Styela clava: one gene and its partner. The protein of the gene in region 2 interacts with the protein of the main gene of each other region in a pairwise test. Links are inferred from orthologs where the notes say so. Each region holds a gene or a part of one and is shown on either strand. Other genes may lie near its edges. The genes, in order: RWD domain-containing protein 1-like and developmentally-regulated GTP-binding protein 2-like.

Region 1 (10,355 bases), on a different chromosome or scaffold from region 2:
ATGAGCCTTGAAGATCTCACTACGAAAAATTGCTTTGTATGGTAGAGAAATTTTGGTGCTCCAGAAGTATGCGCACCAAAATGTCGCACAACCTGAATCCGAACCGGTACACACATACTATGTTTAGGTTGTACGCCATCTTGGTGCGCATACTTCAGGAGGTCCGAAATTTTTTATTTTTTTTTACATTTAAAAAAGGGGGGTTCCAACCAGTTGTGGGATTCAGCCAGTTCTATAGGACCGTCTTACGGAATTTTATGAGATCAGCTAACCAGTAGGACTGGGCATTTCGATTCGAATAGTAAATTATTCGAATCGGTTCAGAGCGAAATTTCGAAAGGCCGTTTTTTTTTCTTTCCGCCAATTATCGAGTTAAGTTTCTCAATTTTTTTTATTGAAGCCATACTTTTTCAACGCAATTCTGACATATGACTATTCTCTGTAGTGAGTTATTGATAAAATGTGTTTCTTGTTGTGCGTGAAAGCTCAGCAATCTGTCTGAGTGATGTATATTACGTTTCCAGTAATTTATGTGTCTGGAGGACCCAATAAAACAAGAAAGTTACATACAATTATATATCTCCCAAGTATTCGAGATTAGATTCGAAAAAAATATTCGATTCTGAAATCATCAGGTATTCGAAAACGCCCAGCCCTACTAAGCAGTTAGCATTACTAAAAAATCATGTAACAGAACCGACCAAAAAATATGACTTTTGTGATGAAACCGGCTGACAAAAAATTTATATCCCACCACTGGTTTCAACCAACCCTGGTGCAGAAGCCCCTAAACCCAAAGTAACGTGTCATCCAGGTCAAAAAGTCGAGCCAATCACTGAGTAGAGCTACACTAGTGGTTGATTTAGAGCAGGGGTGTGCAACAGGTGGTCCGGGCAAGTTATTTAGTGTGGCCTTTGTCAACACTCGGATTTCTCCCCATTAAGCATAAAATCTTAATTCGATAGTTTAAAAGGCACTCGGGTGAAAATGCATGTTTTTTGCGCTTGCCTTGATTGCTGTAAGGTTAGTGAACCCTTTCCTGAGACGCTCTGGTTGTCGCTGATGTATTTCGTTGATGCAGGTTTTCATAGCGCTTATCTACAAAATTATATAGTGACATAACAATCCCTCATATTAGTTGCTTTTGCCATACATTGTGTACATGTGAAATCTAATATTTTTGTGTCGCCCAACAAGATAGATGTCTGAAATTGATTATATGGCCCAGCGACAAAAAATGTTGCACCCCCCAATTTAAGAGGACTCAAAACTATGAATAAATTGTGACTCGAGTCCCAAACATTTACGAAACCATATCATATACTTGTGAACACCTGTGCATGGTTTTCTACTGAGAAAATCTTACATTATCATGCCACTGTTTGAATCATATCAACAAATAAACTTAAAATAAGTTTAACTTCAAATAAACTTCATTTTTAAATATAATTTGCAGAAATTTACACAAAAACCTAAAGGAAAACTGACTTATTTTGTGACACAAATTGATAACCTAAGCATGTTATACAAAGAAGGCAATTACATGGAGAGCTGTATGGTCATACATAATTTATTTGTATAGGTTGGAAATAGTTTAATCTTTAAAAGCAAATACCTGCCGCCTTTAAAATTTGTAACCCCCCCCCCCCCCACCCTTGAATTGAAAAGCTGGGGAGCATACCAGTGTCGCGGCTCTTTCTCTATCCAAGTCTAAGAACATGTTACAGTCGACTGGCCATTAATTCTCATACGAAACCTGGGCCAGAAGACATTGCATCGAACTTAGAGGCTGCGATTAAATTACCCATTATCGACTCCCTCCCCCAGAATGAGTATGAAAAAAGGGTTAGGCCATAATTTTATTCGGATTTTCCTTATTTTAGTTCTATTACGAGTTCGGGGACTGTCTGTGTTAGCCAAGTGAATATACCGCTACCCATAGGTTTCAGTCGCTTTACATATCTTGATGTGAAGTAGGCGAACAAAATTAGTTACCTCTATGTTAGTACACACACTTTTGGAGCGCCTTCTAATCACTGCATCAAACTGGGTGTTCACAGCTCATTCTAGTCCGTGCACATGGAACAGTCAACTGGCCAACATTCCCCACAAAAACCAAAAGACATTGGATCCAACTTAGAGGCTGTGATTAACATGAAAATCACCCATTATCAACCTCTCCTCCCCCCAGATAAATATGGAAAAAAAATTCACAACTGTGTCATGAGCACAGAGCAGGATCAAAGTCTGGGTCATCACTATCTTCAAAGTCCAAATCATCGAGATCCTCAAACAAGCTCTCGTCAATCGTTACTCCCTCAGTTTCCCCCTCAAGGAACTCATTTTCTAATAATTTAGCGTCTGAGAGGAACAGCTCCTTTCCAGTCATTTTCCTCTTTTCAGTCATTTTCATTTCAAGTTTCTGCAATTCTTTCATTTCTTCATCAAATTTTAATTTCCAGACGAGAAAAGTTTCGACAGTAACTGGTGTACCGTGAAATTTTTTATTTTCTTCTGCTTCTAATTCTCTCTCATGTCTCTCTTTTTCATCTTGTTCTCTCCTTTTTATGCCATCTTTGACGTCGTTTAAAAATTCTTGAATTGCAGTAACGACAGTAAAAATCATCACCATTCCTAAATTATCTTCAATTTCTTTTTCGATGATTGTTTTAATTTTTTCTTCATCTTCAGCTGATAAGTTTTCGCATTCTATCAGCTCGTAAATTGGGGCTTCGTCAGGATACGTCGGTGTGTATGTGAATTGGATTTTTGCGAAAATGTTCTCATCTGAGATAATTAATATAAAAACAAGGATGAAAAAATGAAGTCTCAAACATTAATACATTAATTGGCACAATGGGATAGGATATGATTTACATAATCATCTCGGGGGAAAGCCGATGGGACAGCTCTACCATATGCTGAACCACGGCCTCCCGTCCGGTTACCAGTCCAGGTCGGGTATGGGATTAGTTAGGTATTTGTTTTCGGGAGCACGGACTTGATGGTCGAGAAGGCCAGTTCGGCACACTATCCAAATTCCAAAAAATTTCCTTCCATTTGGTTCAATAAAACAAACACTCAAACGAGGGGCGTCTGGCACCACATCAGATGCGTTATACTGTATTTTTACCGATATTGAGGGACAACAATGTCCAGACGTCCCCCAAAGGAGGGCTGTCTGATCATTGGTAAAATGGGTTTCTTTGAAACGAGACAATGCCACCTGATCTGTATAGTGTGCCGTACTGAAGGCTGTAACCGACAAGCTGTTACGTGTACCACCCTATGGCGGCAAGGAGTCCAGCAATCCTCTCCCACATGACCTTCCCCGCATGGGATCCAAACCTGCGAACCCACACAGGGTAATCAGATATGCAGTGTCGAGTATATTGGCATGATGAGCCACACCGCCACAGCAGTGGTTGAAGATTGTATTCTTTTGGCTATTACTTTTATTTATTTCAAATAGCAATGTGATTTATCAGCCACCCGTTCGGTTTTTTAACTTTCTTGAAAAAATATATAAATTCCTATCCTTACTAATCAAACACACCCACCTTCCTCGGCGTCTTCAACAGTGACCGTTAGTTCAAAGCTGCGAGGCTTCTCCGATATTACTTGGAACGAATCGTAATAAATCGATTCTAAAGCTTCTATCTCAGTGTTCTGTTCTTCTTCGTGGTCAGTCATTTTGTCAGGATCACATTTCTGACTCGAAGAATATTTTCGCAATAGTTGAAGAGCAATACTCGATTGATGATTAATTGAACACTTGACTGCTTGATCGCAAAGGGCCACTGGACTAATTTAGCGATTACGAAGTCAGCAAAATTACAGACACATGTCAATTGAATTTTACCGAATGTCATGTAAATCGCGGCGCATCGTGCTAAGCTTCAGGAATGAACGTTTTTCCTACCCCAGGATATTCTTCAAAGTAATTTTTGATATCTATTTTAAAAGTGTTAGGAGGGAGCAGGCGCTTATCAACTAGTTTACGTGTTCAAAACACAATTCTTATATATAAAAATAATTACCCACGCCATGTGCCACTTGCAGGTACTCATAGCTAACTTTAGCCCAAAATCTCACAGCTTTTTCAGAACTCATTTTTTATTATTGCAACTAAATTAAAGCTCCTTGGAAAACATAATTAAATTTAAATTATTTGATTTACAACTAATTTTTTGAAACACAAATAAAACCTAACACGAAAAACTGCTAAAACAGGCCAATATTCACAATCCTGCTTAGCGAAAGAATTGTCTGACACACTGTACGGTTGCCATTGTTACATCATCACTGACTTATTGCTGATTAGCCATTGTTTTGGAAATAAACAAGGAAATCGAAACATCCATACGCTTGCCATTGCACCTCTGATTACCCTGCGCGGATTCGTAGGTTCGAATCCCGAGGGATAATAATTATATGCAAGAAGACTCCTCACCGCCGTAGAGTGACCGTTCACGTAGCCGTTGATCGGTTACAGCTTCCTCCTACATCAGGTCCAAGCGTCAGATTCATATATTTTATTTCGTCATTCATGAATCATTGTCGCATTCATGATGTCTGGTGGTCCATATCTAGGTTACGGCTGCCTCTACCATCATGTCCACGCTTCCGAAAACAAATAACTAACTTATCCCATACCCCCGACCTGGACTGGTAACCGGACGAGAGGCCGTGGTTCGCCATATGGATAAGACGACTTATCGGCTTTCCTCTCCCCTGGAATAAATATGTGAATCCTATCCTATATCTTAGCTTAACCACTGGACAAATTTGGTTACCGGTGTCGCAGTGTCACAAAAATTCCAGACACATGTCAATGGAATTTTACCGAATGTCATGTAAATCTGTTTCCATGAATTATATTTGCCAGCCGTAGGACGCGAAGAAAATTTGTGAAAATAAGTCAAAGTAAAAAATATTACTCTACTGGACTAATGTGAAAAGAAGTGATTCTCTCTAAACAACATTTTTGCAGTTCCCATGCCCTATAACTTCAACGCAAGCACGCAAATCTGTGGGTGGGGGCTGCAGACACATCTGTGGGCGGCATCGTGCAAGCAATAGTGCGTCACTGTGTAGTTTTTTTATGACGTCTTTTGCCCCGAACAAGGTCTTGTGCGAGCAAACATTGATATCTAACAATATGCAAGAGACTATTATTATTTGGAAAGACCGGCTTCTCTTTCTGCTCTGCATTGCTTACTCAATTCATCACACTCTGGGTGGCTGGGATATCACAAGACTGTGAAATACTACAGTCAAGCCTTGCACCAGTATGGGACGTGATATATTGATACTGAGCCACTGACATAGAGCTAATTAGTTTAGATTCGGATCGACGCTTTCATGTTTATAATAGCAAGACTGCGAATGGTCCTTTAGGTGTCGGTCAGCTTAGTTGGCCTTACAGTAGGCTAATAGACAATAGCATAAAAAATTGGTACTCTCGTAGTATGTGTACCAGGTTATTGTTAGGTCATAAGTTTATTTCGATTTTCCTTATTTTAGTTTCATTACGAGTTCGGGAAGTGTCTGTGTTAGCCAAGTGAATATACGCACTACCAATAGGCTACCTATTACACTACCCTTTACACAACTCGATGTAAAGTAGGCGAACAAAATTGGTACCTCCATACTGGTACACACACTTCTGGAGAGCCAAAAAGAAGTTTACGGGAAAGTAGTAGTACAGCGCGGTGACCCGGATTTCCAACGAAACGACTCCAAGCTATATAAGTAACCATGGAAACGACAGTGCAAAGCAGTACAGACGGATTATATGTATTGTAGAAATAGAAACGTAGTAAGTGCTTCAAGATTTATTGCCTACAGACTCACAGTCAAGACCTTACCTGTTGCGTCTTATAGTACGATGCGCTTTATGTATGAATCAAACACAATCTAAGCAACTTGTTGACACCGGTGTAACTCAGCCTTATGGTCCGTAAAATATGGTAATACTAAGTCGTTGTCGTAAGCTCCTCTAAAATACTCTGCCTTGTGTTTTGCAGGTTAATATACTTAACTATCAAGATGTCCGAAACTGGAACCGTCAAGTGGTTCAGCGATGAGAAAGGGTTCGGATTTATCAAACGAGAGAAAGGTTCTGATGTTTTTGTGCATTTCAGGGAAATAGCAAGGGAAGGATTCAAGACACTGGCTGAAGGCGAGAAAGTGAGCTTCAACGTAGAGCAAGGCCAGAAGGGATCACTGGCTTCAAATGTGAAACTTCTTTAAATGAAAACCAATGGATTGAAAGAACATTATAAACATTTTTTTTTTTTATAATATAATAAATTCATTTTAATTTCTCTAAATACTTACACAGCACAAATCATGAACATACAAAACATAAACACACAGAATAATGGAAAAATCGGGAAAACTGGCAAAACCTCTAGTAAGGTTTGAAACACGGAGAAATACATTGTGCCTGTTTACCCAATTTACACTCACAAACATATTATAAAAAAGATAAAAACACGAACGTGTTATCGTTCGGTCGTCCAACTTGTGTAGCAAACAAACTTTTTGATGTCTATGATACCTATGTTGATAGGTATTTGTCTGTCTGTCTGTCTGTTAGATGCTCGCGATATCTCACGAAAGCGAGATTGAATCTGCTCCAGATTTTGCATGTGCATTCATCATATGTCGGACCAGAAGCCTATTGATTTTGAATGAATTATGTCGTATAATTAGCGAGTTATTAATTAATTAGTGATGGATCACAAGGTGTCACAATGGAGTAAGAGCGCTGTTTTGGGGATCCCCCAACTTTCGATCGATAAGTCTTCGGTCTCTGACCGATATCCTCGTTTTACTTTTTGCCAATCGTATTTATCGTTACCAGGGTGGGGCCATACATACAATTTTCCGGGCTTCAAACACATTCAAGACTATTGGAAACCCGGACCCGCTAGCTGTTTCGGTTCAACTTGGCAATTAGAAATTTCAGAACCCCTTTTGAAAATGCCTGGCTATAACCCGGATCGCTATTGTGAAACCAAAGTAGTTTATGCCAAAGCGTATATATAATATAAGCGAGGCAACGCTCAGACAATGGACGCCATCTTGTGGCTATTGTTCTCGGCAGAGATGACGTCACAGATCAAAAGTTGTATTTATTCGTCGAAATTACCGGCCGACCCGACTTTGCTTCAATGGCCGTTTCTATTTTCTGGTTAACATTTTTCGTCTGTCAAGCTCCATAATGGCCTACTGCTGAGCTCCAAGCTGCGCTAGAAGAATAAATAACATTGTAGGATTGTTGCGGAGACATTTTACAGCCTCAAATTGGCGTATCACTATAAAATCTTTGAAAAAATGACCAAAAATGGTTCTACGCTGTGTTTGTAGTCAAATTTAACGCATTAGATAGTTTTTCATTCCTAATTGCGTTATATATTTGGATAGCATATATCTTAAAGTTCAAAATCCACCTTTCGGTTTCATTCTAGCCCTTATAAAAGCGGACTTATTCGATTCGGTACAACAACACGACGAAAATTTCCCATAAGACTCCATTGTTTCGTGTTTCCCAAATATGGCACAAGATGGTGTTCATGAACTTGTTCAACATTAGGCAAGTTGGTTGCCGGCCGTTGGTTTATGCCACATATTTCAGGAATTGCATTTTCCTGATCTTTTGTCTTCGCTCATTGCATGCTTTAGTTCAGTAATTGCCTTATGTCCATTTTAGGTCTTGCTCTGCAGATCTGGAAATTACAAAAATGCAATACTCTGAAATTCTTGAAATGTGACGCAAATTGATTTGGGTTTCCTGCAGTGATTGAGGATTTACTTATCTTTTTTGGTATTTCCGTAGTATGTTCACCAAGATGGCGCACAACCTGAACATAGTATGTGTAACAGGTTAAGGTTCAGGTTGTGCGCCATCTTGGCGCACATACTTCGGAAGACCGATTTTTCAACAGCCATAGTTTCGAAATTCCAATGTGTTGTCTTGTAATGGGAGATTTTTACAATCTCTTCGCGATCGTGTCTTAAAATAAACTAATTTAGTTTTTCTCACTTTTACGGTGATGTACAGCATAGTGACATCACATTCAAAATTATTGCATTCTAACTATTGCTGAATGCAGAATTAAAACATCGTGGTTTAGGTAGAAATATTCTGTCATTTTACGCATGAATTTTGATTTTTTTTCTTACGGAAATTGACTTGCGACTTTGCCACTTTTGACATGTATGTTGGACATAGATGTTTTATGTCTAACCTCAAATATTTTCGATTTTCTTTTATGAAAATTGACTTGCCAGATTGCCTTTCTCGCCATGTATGTTGCACACAGATGTTTTATGGTATAACGTCAAATATTTTCGATTTTCTTTTATGAAAATTGACTTGCCAGATTGCCTTTCTCGACATTTATGTTGGACATGGATGTTTTATGTTATACCCTCAAATATTTTCGATTTTCTTTTATGAAAATTGACTTGCCAGATTGCCTTTCTCGCCATGTATGTTGCACACAAATGTTTTATGGAATAACGTCAAATATTTTCGATTTTCTTTTATGAAAATTGACTTGCCAGATTGCCTTTCTCGACATTTATGTTGGACATAGATGTTTTATGTTATAACCTCAAATATTTTCGATTTTCTTTTATGAAAATTGACTTGCCAGATTGCCTTTCTCGCCATGTATGTTGCACATAGATGTTTTATGGTATAACGTCAAATATTTTTAATTTTTTCATGGAAATTGACTTGCCAGGTTGCCTTTCTCGACATGTATGTTTGACATAGACATTTATCTGTCTCAGAATGCTTCAGTTGTTTACTTTTCTATACAGTTCAAAACTATACTCGCGACAAAAAACAGTAGTTACTATACTAAATTTCACAATCTTGTAATTAGATATTTGGAACCTTGGGTGTCGCTGCTCGATAACCATCTTTGATTCTTTGCGGCTTCCATCCCAGTAAGATCCTGTGATTGAATTTTATTTTTGTATTTTGCATGAAAGTATTTTTTACTGATTGAAAAAAATATACTTGATTTTGTCTCTTAAAAATTCTTCCCAATCCTGGGTTTTAAAGCTGAGGAAAGCTGATAAGGCGGATCAATTACATGGCGAACCACGGCCTCTCGTCCAATTATTTTTCATTTGTTTTAGATGTATGGACGTCATGGTCGGGGACCAGTGGCCATCTAATAATTTATACAAGTTCATGTCATATATGGAACAATAATTGTATATACAGTCTACAATATGTTTTCGCAATTTATTCCTGCCCACTTCCCCCTCATTTATATAAGCTGATATACATACAAACACATCCACCGATTATCGTAAAGTACTTTTGCCGTATCCGATTGCCCTACTCCGTCTCTCCCGTCATCCTCTTGTTCCATTTTACTATTTGGGATAAACAAACGAATAAATTACGGCGCCGCGAATGTCTGACCTAGTTTAGAATTACAAACAACTCATCGTTATCGGGCGTCGATGCTTCATAGCCTACTTCACGAATTTGATTCGTTTTATTGAATAGAGAAAAACAATTTAATCCGCAGTGAAGGAATCTTAACCCTGGACATGTTTGTTTGTTTATTTAAAATGTAACAGAATTTGAGCGCGGTGGTTGAGGCCTCAGGCTTATGATGGCATCTCTCATAGAATCACTGCCCTGTGAAAACAGAATAAAAACGTCAAAAATCTTGCAAAAAGAGTAAAAAAATCTTGCCAAAACAGTGAAAACTACCAAAAACCAAACGCAAACGCGCAAAAACAGTGAAAAATCACGCCACCATCTCATCCACGCTGTAATAAATTGTGCGGCAATGCCGAACGAGACCAACTATTGTGGACATCGACTGACTATTGTACATATCGATGATGAATAAAGCACAATCGGTGTTGACAAAACGATTTAGGTTGCAAATTAAATCGTTTTGCTAACGCCGGTTGTGCTTTATTTATCATCGATATGAATATACATGGTGACCATCATGCGGCATTGTACATATTGTTGTTGTGTATTAGGCCTAAGTTTATACTTACAAATTCATTCATGTAGGTTCTTGCATCATTACGCATCAGCCATGAACTGCTATTACACTCGGGCACACGTGTTTCGGGCCTTGTTTTCTTTTTGTCATCTTTACATTCATAATACAGATATTGTTTCATTTATTACTGTATTGCTGGGTCATCTAAGTGCAATGACTCTTCCATCAACTAAGATTAATGGGACATGATTCAATTAAAACTAATATTGCCTGAGGGGAAGTTAGGTTATTTTGACAGGTGCGATTGTTACGACCGGGATAATTAAATATTTTCATCGGAAAAATCCATAATTGCCT
Region 2 (9,796 bases):
TTTCATTTAGAACTCCAAAGTATTTCTTCTTAATTTATTTTTCAGCACTGCTCTGTTGGAATAGGAGACTGCAGGTTCAGTTAATAAGCGCTATAATATAAGAGCAATCAATCATGCTTGTATGAGAATGATGGCCCTCACTTAATCTACAAAATTGAAAATAATATTAAATCTGCAAATTTACCAGAGCAATAAACTTTTATTTTTATAAGTGGCAAAGGAAGAAATAAGTTATCGGAAAATAGACTTCCTTAACAGCTAAGTCAAGGGTACATTGTGAAAAAGCTAAATTATCATTCAAGAATCGATATCTCAATTTCCACTAAATAATATATTGATTGCCGCTTCAACATTTCCTTGTGTTGCAGTTAATGCATGCCTACTGGCTTCATCATCAGTTATACCCATTGAATGAAGCTGTTCAAGTCCTGCTCGCATTACATCCTCACTTAACACAGAATCATTGCTTCTTGGAGCAGAACTTTCACTTTGTAGAGATTGAGAGACTTCTCGAAGACCAGTTGACATTAATGCTTCTTGCATCGCTTGGTTTAAAGCTTCTGGTGTGAGCTGCTGAGGTCTGGTTTCATTTCTTTCTTGAGGTGTAGTTGATGTATTACTGGTTGTGTTTGAGTTTGGTGTATTGAAAGCTGAATATGGAAAATTGTAGCCCTCACTTGGTGGTGTCGCTTGCGCAATAGCGGCAGATAATTGAGACAAAGTTATCATATTAGAAGCTTGGTTTGAAGATGAAGGATGACTTTCATTTGACTGACCCGCATCCACGTCCATAGAAACCGTACTGCTTGTGGAAGCTGCTGTATTGGAGTATTTACTGGAGGTCATCAATGTATTCCACATTGCCTCAAAAGCTATGGCCAAACAAGGGTGCTTTTCAACAATATTTTTCAAATATTTTGGATTAACTATAACTTTAAACAACTTTGCATTCTGCAGAATATCCATTGCTGCACGGTCCTCTCTGAGCCCTGATATGTTTGAAATAATTTTGTCAATAGTTTTTTTATCTTCAAAAAGTTTGGTAAGTGCTGATTTTTTATGCGATCGATTCTCATGTTGAATCATGGTAGCCAAACCATAAGAAGCATTTTGTACTTTAGCGTAATCTATCTTCGGAACATCCTGTTTTGTTGATGGTAATTTCTTTCTAATAGCATGGAGTCTATTACCTGACTGCAATCCCCACTCCTTCATCTCTTGGTCAGGATTACAGTCTAACCGTTTCAATCCAAAATACAACTCGTAATCATCCGAAGATAAACCAAATGTTGAATTGATTTTTTCTCTAAATTGTTTATAAATAGGTGATTGCACATCCAAAACTATCTGCTCAGATCTGTGGATATTTTCATTATCTATATAAGACACATGGAGCTTGAATGAGTTCTCCATGCTTTGTAATTCATCAGATAATCTAAATGGCAAAACAAAAATGACAGTTAACTGTAATAAAGTTGTTTTAATACAGAATTGATTTATTAGGAATAAGTTGAATTTCAAAAGAACAAGGTCGCCACTCGCCACACTTGTACAATACTGCTACGTAATAATATGGAATTAGTCAATTCTGATATATGGTAGAGGCATTCCATTTCCATATAAAAAAACTAATATATTTATTTGAACAACTTTCATTTTATCCAAGAAAGGTGTTTTTCATACATTGTGAAAATTTGTTTGATTGATTTGCATGGATGGTTGTATCCCAAATTAAACGGACATTGCATTCAATACATCAACCTTTTTCTGAGTGGGAAAATCGCCAGAAATGACCATGCCTTATGCTTACATAAATATAACTTACTATCATACAATTCTGTACAAGAAGATTTTTCACAGTAAAAATGCCCACATTTGTGAGGCCATAAACATTTGAACTGTTATACCCATATGTCCTACTTATTTGGGAAATATGTCAACATAAAAGCCTCGAACAGGGTGACCTAAAAAAACACAACCCAGGTCATTCAGGATATATTCTAGACTCTAAGAGTTAACATAATTTTTGTGCGGAGCGTCTTACATTGCTGAAACTTTCGGGTACAATAAATCACTTTATAAGAAAGTTATGGGTTCTGTTCTTTGGGGGTCACCCTGCACATACAAGAGTGGAGATAGTTCAATCGATCAAAAATTGAATTTCAAAATTACATTTAAACAGGCCTAATGATCATAAAAATTTTAATTTAGCAGCTTGTTACTGAAATTATAAAATTCTGAAAGATGTGACTATTCGATAACATAAAAGACAATCATATTCAAATACAAGTATCAAATATGTGTTTTTTATTTTGCGGAGGAACAATTTTGATTCTGCCATCACCAGGTATTCAAGCAGTATGATCAGTCAAATTAATTAAGGAAGGTTGCTTTATCACCAATCATTGTCTGCTGGCATAGGACGGGTCACACCGAACAAAAGTGAACTAGATCCTAGTTCACTACATATATTTTGTTCTACATATTCACTTTTTAACAATTTGTAAAACATCTTCGTGACATAATTGGTGAGTCAAGCCTACATGTTGACCATTGTATTTTGCGCTCCTTCCCCAGACTTGAGCATATTTAAAACCTGATACTAACGATCTATGCACAGCATGGCAAGCATGCTCCACAGTACAATTTGCACGTAAAATCAACCCATCACTAAAGTCTGGCTTTTTTGCAGGCTTTTTTGTATATACAGTCATAAGAGCCAAATACTCCCACATTTTTTCGAGTAGATAGTCTAAATTCAATTTCATGTTGCAACTGATGACAACACTATGTGGTTGTCGTGCGATCCTGTCAACCTCCTCAATTGAAATTTGATCAATTTTATTGTAAACATAAAGGCATGACATATATTTTCTATTCCCAACTACAACATCAATAAATTCGTCTGGTCCATAATCATCGCGAAAGAGAACTTCAGCATTAAAAATCTTGTATTCGTGAAGGATTAGTTGAACCATTTTCTCGTTTATTTTTGTCAACACGCATGTAGAGTTGAATGACAGTCCTCCACCTTTTTTAAGTTTGAAGTAAATATTTGGAACCTTTTTGTTGAGACGAATTCCCACGGCTTCTAACTCTAGGGTGAGGAGTTCTTTCTGTTTTTCACCCTTTGCAGCATCCAGCATCATAACAACAACATCTGCTGTTCTACCAACTGCAATGACTTGACGACCTCGACCTTTACCACCCGCTGCACCTTCGATAATTCCTGGTAAATCAAGAAGTTGAATATTCGCCCCATTATATTCAATTACTCCAGGGATGCAAGTCAAAGTTGTGAACTCATAAGATGCTTGCTCACTTTCCGTGTTGGTTAACGTAGACAATAGAGTTGATTTGCCGACAGAAGGAAATCCAATGAGAGCTACGCGGGCATCACCCGATTTCATGACATCAAAACCTTCCCCTTTTTGTCCAGATCCCTTTGGCCCTTCAAGAAGTTGAGCTCTATACTTTGCTAGTTTAGCTTTCAGCAGCCCAAGATGATATTCAGTGGCTTTGTTTTTTTGTGTCCTTTGAATTTCCTTCTCAACTTCCGATATCTTCTCTAAGATACCCATGGTTTATAAGAAACTTACGAGCGTTCTCTCCAATTTGAATTCCAGAAGCAAACTAGAGCTTGATAGTCTAATTATCTTTCAAATTCAGTAATTTACAGAATAATTTTTATAGGGTTTTTCCCAGTCCACATTCACTATTACATTAACTGCTGAATTGAAAAACAGTATTCAATAAAACTTGATAGCATTTACAAATTTAGCAAATAGATCGGTATGTATAGTTTTGTACCACATGCACTTCTAGTTGGCCTGGCTCAACAAAATCTGAGCCTCTAAAGCAGAGTGATGCGCTACATTGCCGTACCCTTTGTGAAGCTATCAGCAAAACACAAAATTGTGACTGACAGAATCGCAGAAAATACCCACGCGTAAAATTAAATGTTCCCAATGATTTTTAAAAGAAGGTGTATATTTTGATTAGTTTCACAATAGCAAATAAAGCAAAACAATCATTAACTACACTCCTCTTATTGTTAATATATAGTAAACAAGCTAAAGCGTCTGTTACAGTGCATAAAAATTTTTTATACTTTTTTGAGAGTTGTTTAAAAATGACTGAATTTTCGTCGTTTAAGACGGTCGTTTCATGAAAACCTCCAATAAAGGCAGCATTGCAACACCATTGGTAAAAAGTAGAAACCTCAAAGATTCGATTTCATTATGTCAGAACAGTCTCAGCACGTTTTGACTTGGCCATATATAATACTAAACATAGCGTATAATTTTCAATTTTATGCACAATGTATATACAACAAATTTAAAACTGATTTTGTGTTTCAACTAAATTTACTGGAGTTCATAAAAGAAGATATTTTCCTCTTTGTCACACAACAATAATGCACTTTAATAAACTTAGAATAAGTTGAGGAAAGTCTAAAATACCAAAAAAAAATTACGCCCTCTTGTGGATTCTTTAATAAATATCACAAAATTATCGTTTTTGAAAGGGCGATTTCTCAAAAACCGCCAATAAAGGCAGCACTACGACACATTCGGAGAAAAGCAGATATCCTATAGATTCGATTTTAATATGTCAGAACAGTAGCAGCACGTTTTAACTTGGCCATATATGATACCAAATATAGCATAAAATTTTCAATTTTATCAACTATGTAGATGTAACATATTTAAAAACGGTTTGGTATTTCAACCAAAGTTACTGGATAATTCATCAAATACTTTTCTCTCTTGGTCATACATCAAAACTGTACGTTCATTAAACTTGGAATAAGAGGCAAATCTTAAAATAACAAAAAATGATGGATATTTTCGGAATTTCGAAAAAATATCGTTTTTGAAAGGGCAATTTCTCAAAAACCGCTAATAAAGGCGGCACTACGACACATTCGGAGAAAAGCAGATACCTTATAGATTTGATTTCATTATGTCAGAACAGTAGCAGCACGTTTTGACTTGGCCATATATAATACCAAACATAGCGTGTATTCAAAATGTAATAAACAATGCAGACGTAACATATTTAAAAACCGTTTGGTATTTCAACTAATTTACTAGATAATTTATCAAACATCTTTTTCTTTTGGACATACATATATTCTGTACGTCCATTAAACTTGGAATGAGTTGCGGAAAGTATAAAATAATAAAAATCATTTTACGCGTGGATTCTTTTCATTATTCTAAAAAATATCGTTTTTATAAGGGCGATTTCTCAAAAACCGCCAATAAAGGCAGCACTACAACACATTCGGAGAAAAGCAGATACGTTATAGATTAGATTTCATTATGTCAGAACAATAGCAGCACGTTTAAACTTGGCCAAATATATTGCTAAACATAGCGTGAATTCAAAATTTCATAAACAATGCAGACGTAACATATTTAAAAAGTGCTTTGTATTTCAACTAAATTTGCTGGATTATTATCAAATATATTTTTCTCCTTGTCGCACATCAATATGTCTATTAAACTTAGAATAGGTTTCAGAAAGTATAAAATAATAAAAAACATTTTACGCACCCTCGTGAATTTGTTTTAAAATTTCGAAAATTATGGTTCATGGAGTGGCGATTTCTCGAAAACCGCCAATAAAGGCAACATCACACCCATTCGGAGAAAAGCACATACGTTATAGATTCGATTTTATCATGTCAGAACAGTAGCAGCACGTTTTGACTTGGTCCTATATAACACCAAACATAGCTTATATTCTTCAATTTTATAAACAACGTAAAAGTAACAATTTAAAAATGGTTTGAGTTTCAACCAAATTTGCTGGATAATTAATTAAATATCTTTTTTTTCTTTGTCGCACATTATTACTGTACGTCTAAACTTGGAATGGGTGGCGGAAAGAATAAAATACCAAAACTCGTTTAAGCCCTCTGGTGGATTTTTTTACTTTTAAAAAATTAATCGTGTTTGAAATAGCGATTTCTCGAAAAACCCCAATAAAGGCAGCACTACGACACATTCGGAGAAAAGCAGATACCTTGTGGATTACGCACTATAACTTTTTTTTAATTTTCCCAAACATACGCTTTTAGAGTGACGGTTTCTTGAAAACCGCCAATAAAGGCAGCATTACGACACTTTCGGATAATCGAAGATACATTAAAGATTCGATTCCACTAAACCACAACAGTAGAAGCACAATTTGATTTGGCCATATATAACATCAAACATAGAGTATATTCTTCAATTTTTGAATAATGCTAACGTTAAAAATTTATAAAGCTGTCATATTTTAAACGAAATTACTGAATACTTGTTCAAATATAATTTTTTCTCAGTCACACATCAATACTGAACAAGGCGAAAAATATATTTGATCAATTATCCAGCAAATTAAGTTGAAATGAAAACTTTTTAAATTCGTTACGTCCATTTTGATGTAAAATTTTAAAAAACACGCTATGTTTGGTAATATAAATGACCAAATCAAAACGTGCTGTTACTGTTCTAGAATAGTAAAGTCGAATATGTAAGGTATATGATTTTTTCCAAATGTGTCGTGGTTCTGCCTTTATTGGCAGTTTTTTAGAAATCGCCACTCCAAAAACGATAATTATCAAAATTTTGAAAATAATCCACAAGAGGGCGTAAAATGATATTTCGATATTCTATGCTTTCCGCAACTTATTCCAACTTTAATGAACGTACAGTATTGATGTGTTAGCAAGACAAAAAAAGTTTGATAAATTATCTAGTAAATTTAGTTTAAATGAAAAACTCTTTTTGAATATGGTATGTCTGCATTGTTTTTTGAAATTTTGAATACACGCTATGTTTGGTATTATATATGGTCAAATCAAAACGAGCTGCTACTGGTCTGGTTTAGTCAAATCGAATCTTCAATGTATCTGCTATTCGCCTAAAGTGTCGTAATGCTGCCTTTATTGGCGGTTTTCAAGAAATCGTCACGCCAAAAACGGCATGTATGGGAAATTAAAAAAATATTTTATAGGGCGTAAGACATGTGTCGAATTATTTTTCGAAATTTTGAAAAGAATCCACGAGAGGGCGTAAAATGTTTTCTTGGTATTTTATACTTTCCGCAACTCATTCTAAGTTTAATAGACGTACAGTATTAATGTGCGGCAAAGAGAAAAATATATATTTTATCAATTGTTCAGCAAATTTAGTTGACATACAATTCCTTTTTAAATTTGTTTCGTCCACATTGTTCATAAAATTAAAGAATATACTCTATGTTTGGTATTATATATGGCAAAGTCAAAACGTGCTGCTACTGTTCTGACATAATAAAATTGAATCTATAAGGTATGTGCTTTTCTCTGAATGTGTCGTGATGCTGCCTTTATTGGCGGTTTTTGAGAAATCACCACTCCAAAAACGATAATTTTCGAAATTCTCAAACTAATTCACGAGAATGCGCAAATTTTTTTTTATTATTACTTTATACTTTCTGAAACTTATTCTAAGTTGAATAGACGTACAGTATTGATGAGCGACAAAAAAAAAAAGATATTTGATCAATTATCCTGCAACTTTAGTTCAAATACAAACCCTTTTTTAATATGTTACGTACCGTTGTTTAAAAAATTGAAGAATATACGCTATGTTTGGTATTATATATGGCCAAGTCAAAACGTGATGCTACTGTTCTGGCATAATAAAATCGAATCTATAATATATGTGCTTTTATCCGAATATGTCGTAGTGCTGCCTTTATTGGTGGTTTTCAAAAAATCGCCATTTTAAAAACGATAATTTTTTGTAATCCAGGACAGAATCCACTAGAAGTCGCAATTGTTTTTTTGCTGTTTTATACTTCCCGCAGCGTATTCCAAGTTTAATAGATGTACGGTATTAATGTGTGACAAAGAGAAAATGATATTTAATCAATTATCTAGCAAATTTAGTTGAAATACAAAATAAATTTTAAATTTGTTACGTCCATGCCGTTTGTAAAATTTAGATTACACGATATGTTTGGTAATATATATGGTCAAGCCAAGACGTGCTGCTACTGTTCTGTTATAGAAAAATCGAATTTATAGGATATCTGCTTTTTTCTAAATGTGTCGTGGTGCTGTCTTTATTGGCGGTTTTCAGGGAATCGAGGTTCCGAAAAGGATAATTTTTCGAAACTTCGTATTTGCGGAATACCTGAAAATTCATTTTTCGCTGAGTTAGTCTTTTTTTAAACACTATTTTCTTGGTAAATTCAATGTATTCATTCAGTTTGAAGATTTTTCATGTATTTCCGTGCTAAAATTATATTTTGATCAGCCTTTTCAGTTTCATATGTAACTATAAGTGAAATTTATATGCGCGTGGAACCTATATTCAATGTGTAAAAATATTCTGGCTGAAAGTTCTGCTAGCTTCACAGAGGTGTTGCGTAGTCATCAATGGTGACAAAGTGGATATTTATCAACCTCTGACCCCAAAAAAATTACTCAAAGTGTTTTCGCAAGTTGGCGTTTATAAAATCTGAAAATGGATTCTTTTTTTGAAATCATCGGTTTGCTGAAAAATGTCAAATAAACTGCCCATAAAGATATAAAGACGGTTAAAGATATTGGAAATGTGGGTCATTTTTGCCAATGCCGATATCCTAAAAATATTGCCGATATTGTTCGTTACATAAGATTAAGTACATGCTAATAGAAACTTGACAGTCAGTGCAAAGTGAACACTCAAAAAACGTTTGGAAATTTTGCCACTCGGTGGTGTAAAGTAAACGACGAAGCAAAAAAAGCTTCTCGATATCTTGTTGTCACACATTGCATATAAAGCGGATCATAGAAAACAAATACCAAGTTACACTCATATTATAGTATTTTTAACGGGATTTCATAATAGTACACAATTTTGATTGCTCCAGCCCACTCATGCAGTCATGATCCATTTAATGTGTTGTGCGTCCACATTCAGGAAATGCATGGTGGTTTGGGAAGCTATTGATCTGATACATGTAAACCGTTTGCTATGGATTCAGAGATGTAGTACAGGTACGCAGTTTTCGAATTCGAGCATAACATGGTGTAGGCCTATTTCAATTTTGGTATAAATTAATCTGCATGAATGGCTTTGAAAGTCCCTTTCGGAAATTATTAATAAATGCCAGATTGAACTTCAAACATATTCAATCCTAAATTTTCCAGAATCCCTTCTTTAAACTGATATTTGTTATTGTGGATCTTTTCATTTTACCCATTGTAATCACATAGGCCTACAACATGGCCCATCTTGTTGTACATGATATATATATTTCACAAAAACAATAATTAAACTACTTCCGTGCAAATTTTGGATACATTGTTGATCGTATTCCTTTTTGATATTTTGAAAATAATGGTTTACGCATCTGGGTCTGACTTTGTCACGTCGTCTTTTTTCCATAATATGTATAGTATATTATACTCCTCGGTGATAGCGATGTAAATAGAACGGCAATCCAGAATACACATTAACATATAAAGCTTGAAAACAATGTCAACGATCAACTAAAGTACTAAACCATCAACAACTTGGTGACCGTACATTTCAACCCATGTGTATATCCGCGGGTTCAATCTATGCGGATGCTAAAACCCATGGGTTGGGGTTAGTATGGGTTCAAATATCCGCAAAACAGAAAAAAATCCATAGGTGCAATAGTATGCAGGTGCAATTGTCGTGGGTTCAAATGTACGGTAACCCAACAACTTTATAGAGTGTGTGTTTATTACTCCCGTGGTTTATTTTCGGGGGATGTCTTATAATTTCATTTATCAAAAACAAAA

What was found.
Region 1: the proteins of developmentally-regulated GTP-binding protein 2-like (region 2) and RWD domain-containing protein 1-like interact in binary tests that used the Homo sapiens proteins (3 or more experiments, as listed by UniProt). The link is inferred for Styela clava from reciprocal best matches to the Homo sapiens genes DRG2 and RWDD1.

The regions. Positions count from the first base shown.
Region 1 is NC_135262.1:382,556-392,910, reverse strand, and holds RWD domain-containing protein 1-like, read right to left. Parts: upstream 4,005-10,355; 5' UTR 3,694-4,004; coding exon 3,561-3,693; intron 2,788-3,560; coding exon 2,222-2,787; 3' UTR 237-2,221; downstream 1-236. UniProt on the Homo sapiens protein: Protects DRG2 from proteolytic degradation.
Region 2 is NC_135250.1:12,761,824-12,771,619, reverse strand, and holds developmentally-regulated GTP-binding protein 2-like, read right to left. Parts: upstream 3,749-9,796; 5' UTR 3,582-3,748; coding exon 2,487-3,581; 3' UTR 1,435-2,486; downstream 1-1,434. Other genes in the region: ubiquitin-like protein 7, read right to left, coding at 313-1,413. UniProt on the Homo sapiens protein: Catalyzes the conversion of GTP to GDP through hydrolysis of the gamma-phosphate bond in GTP. When hydroxylated at C-3 of 'Lys-21' by JMJD7, may bind to RNA and play a role in translation.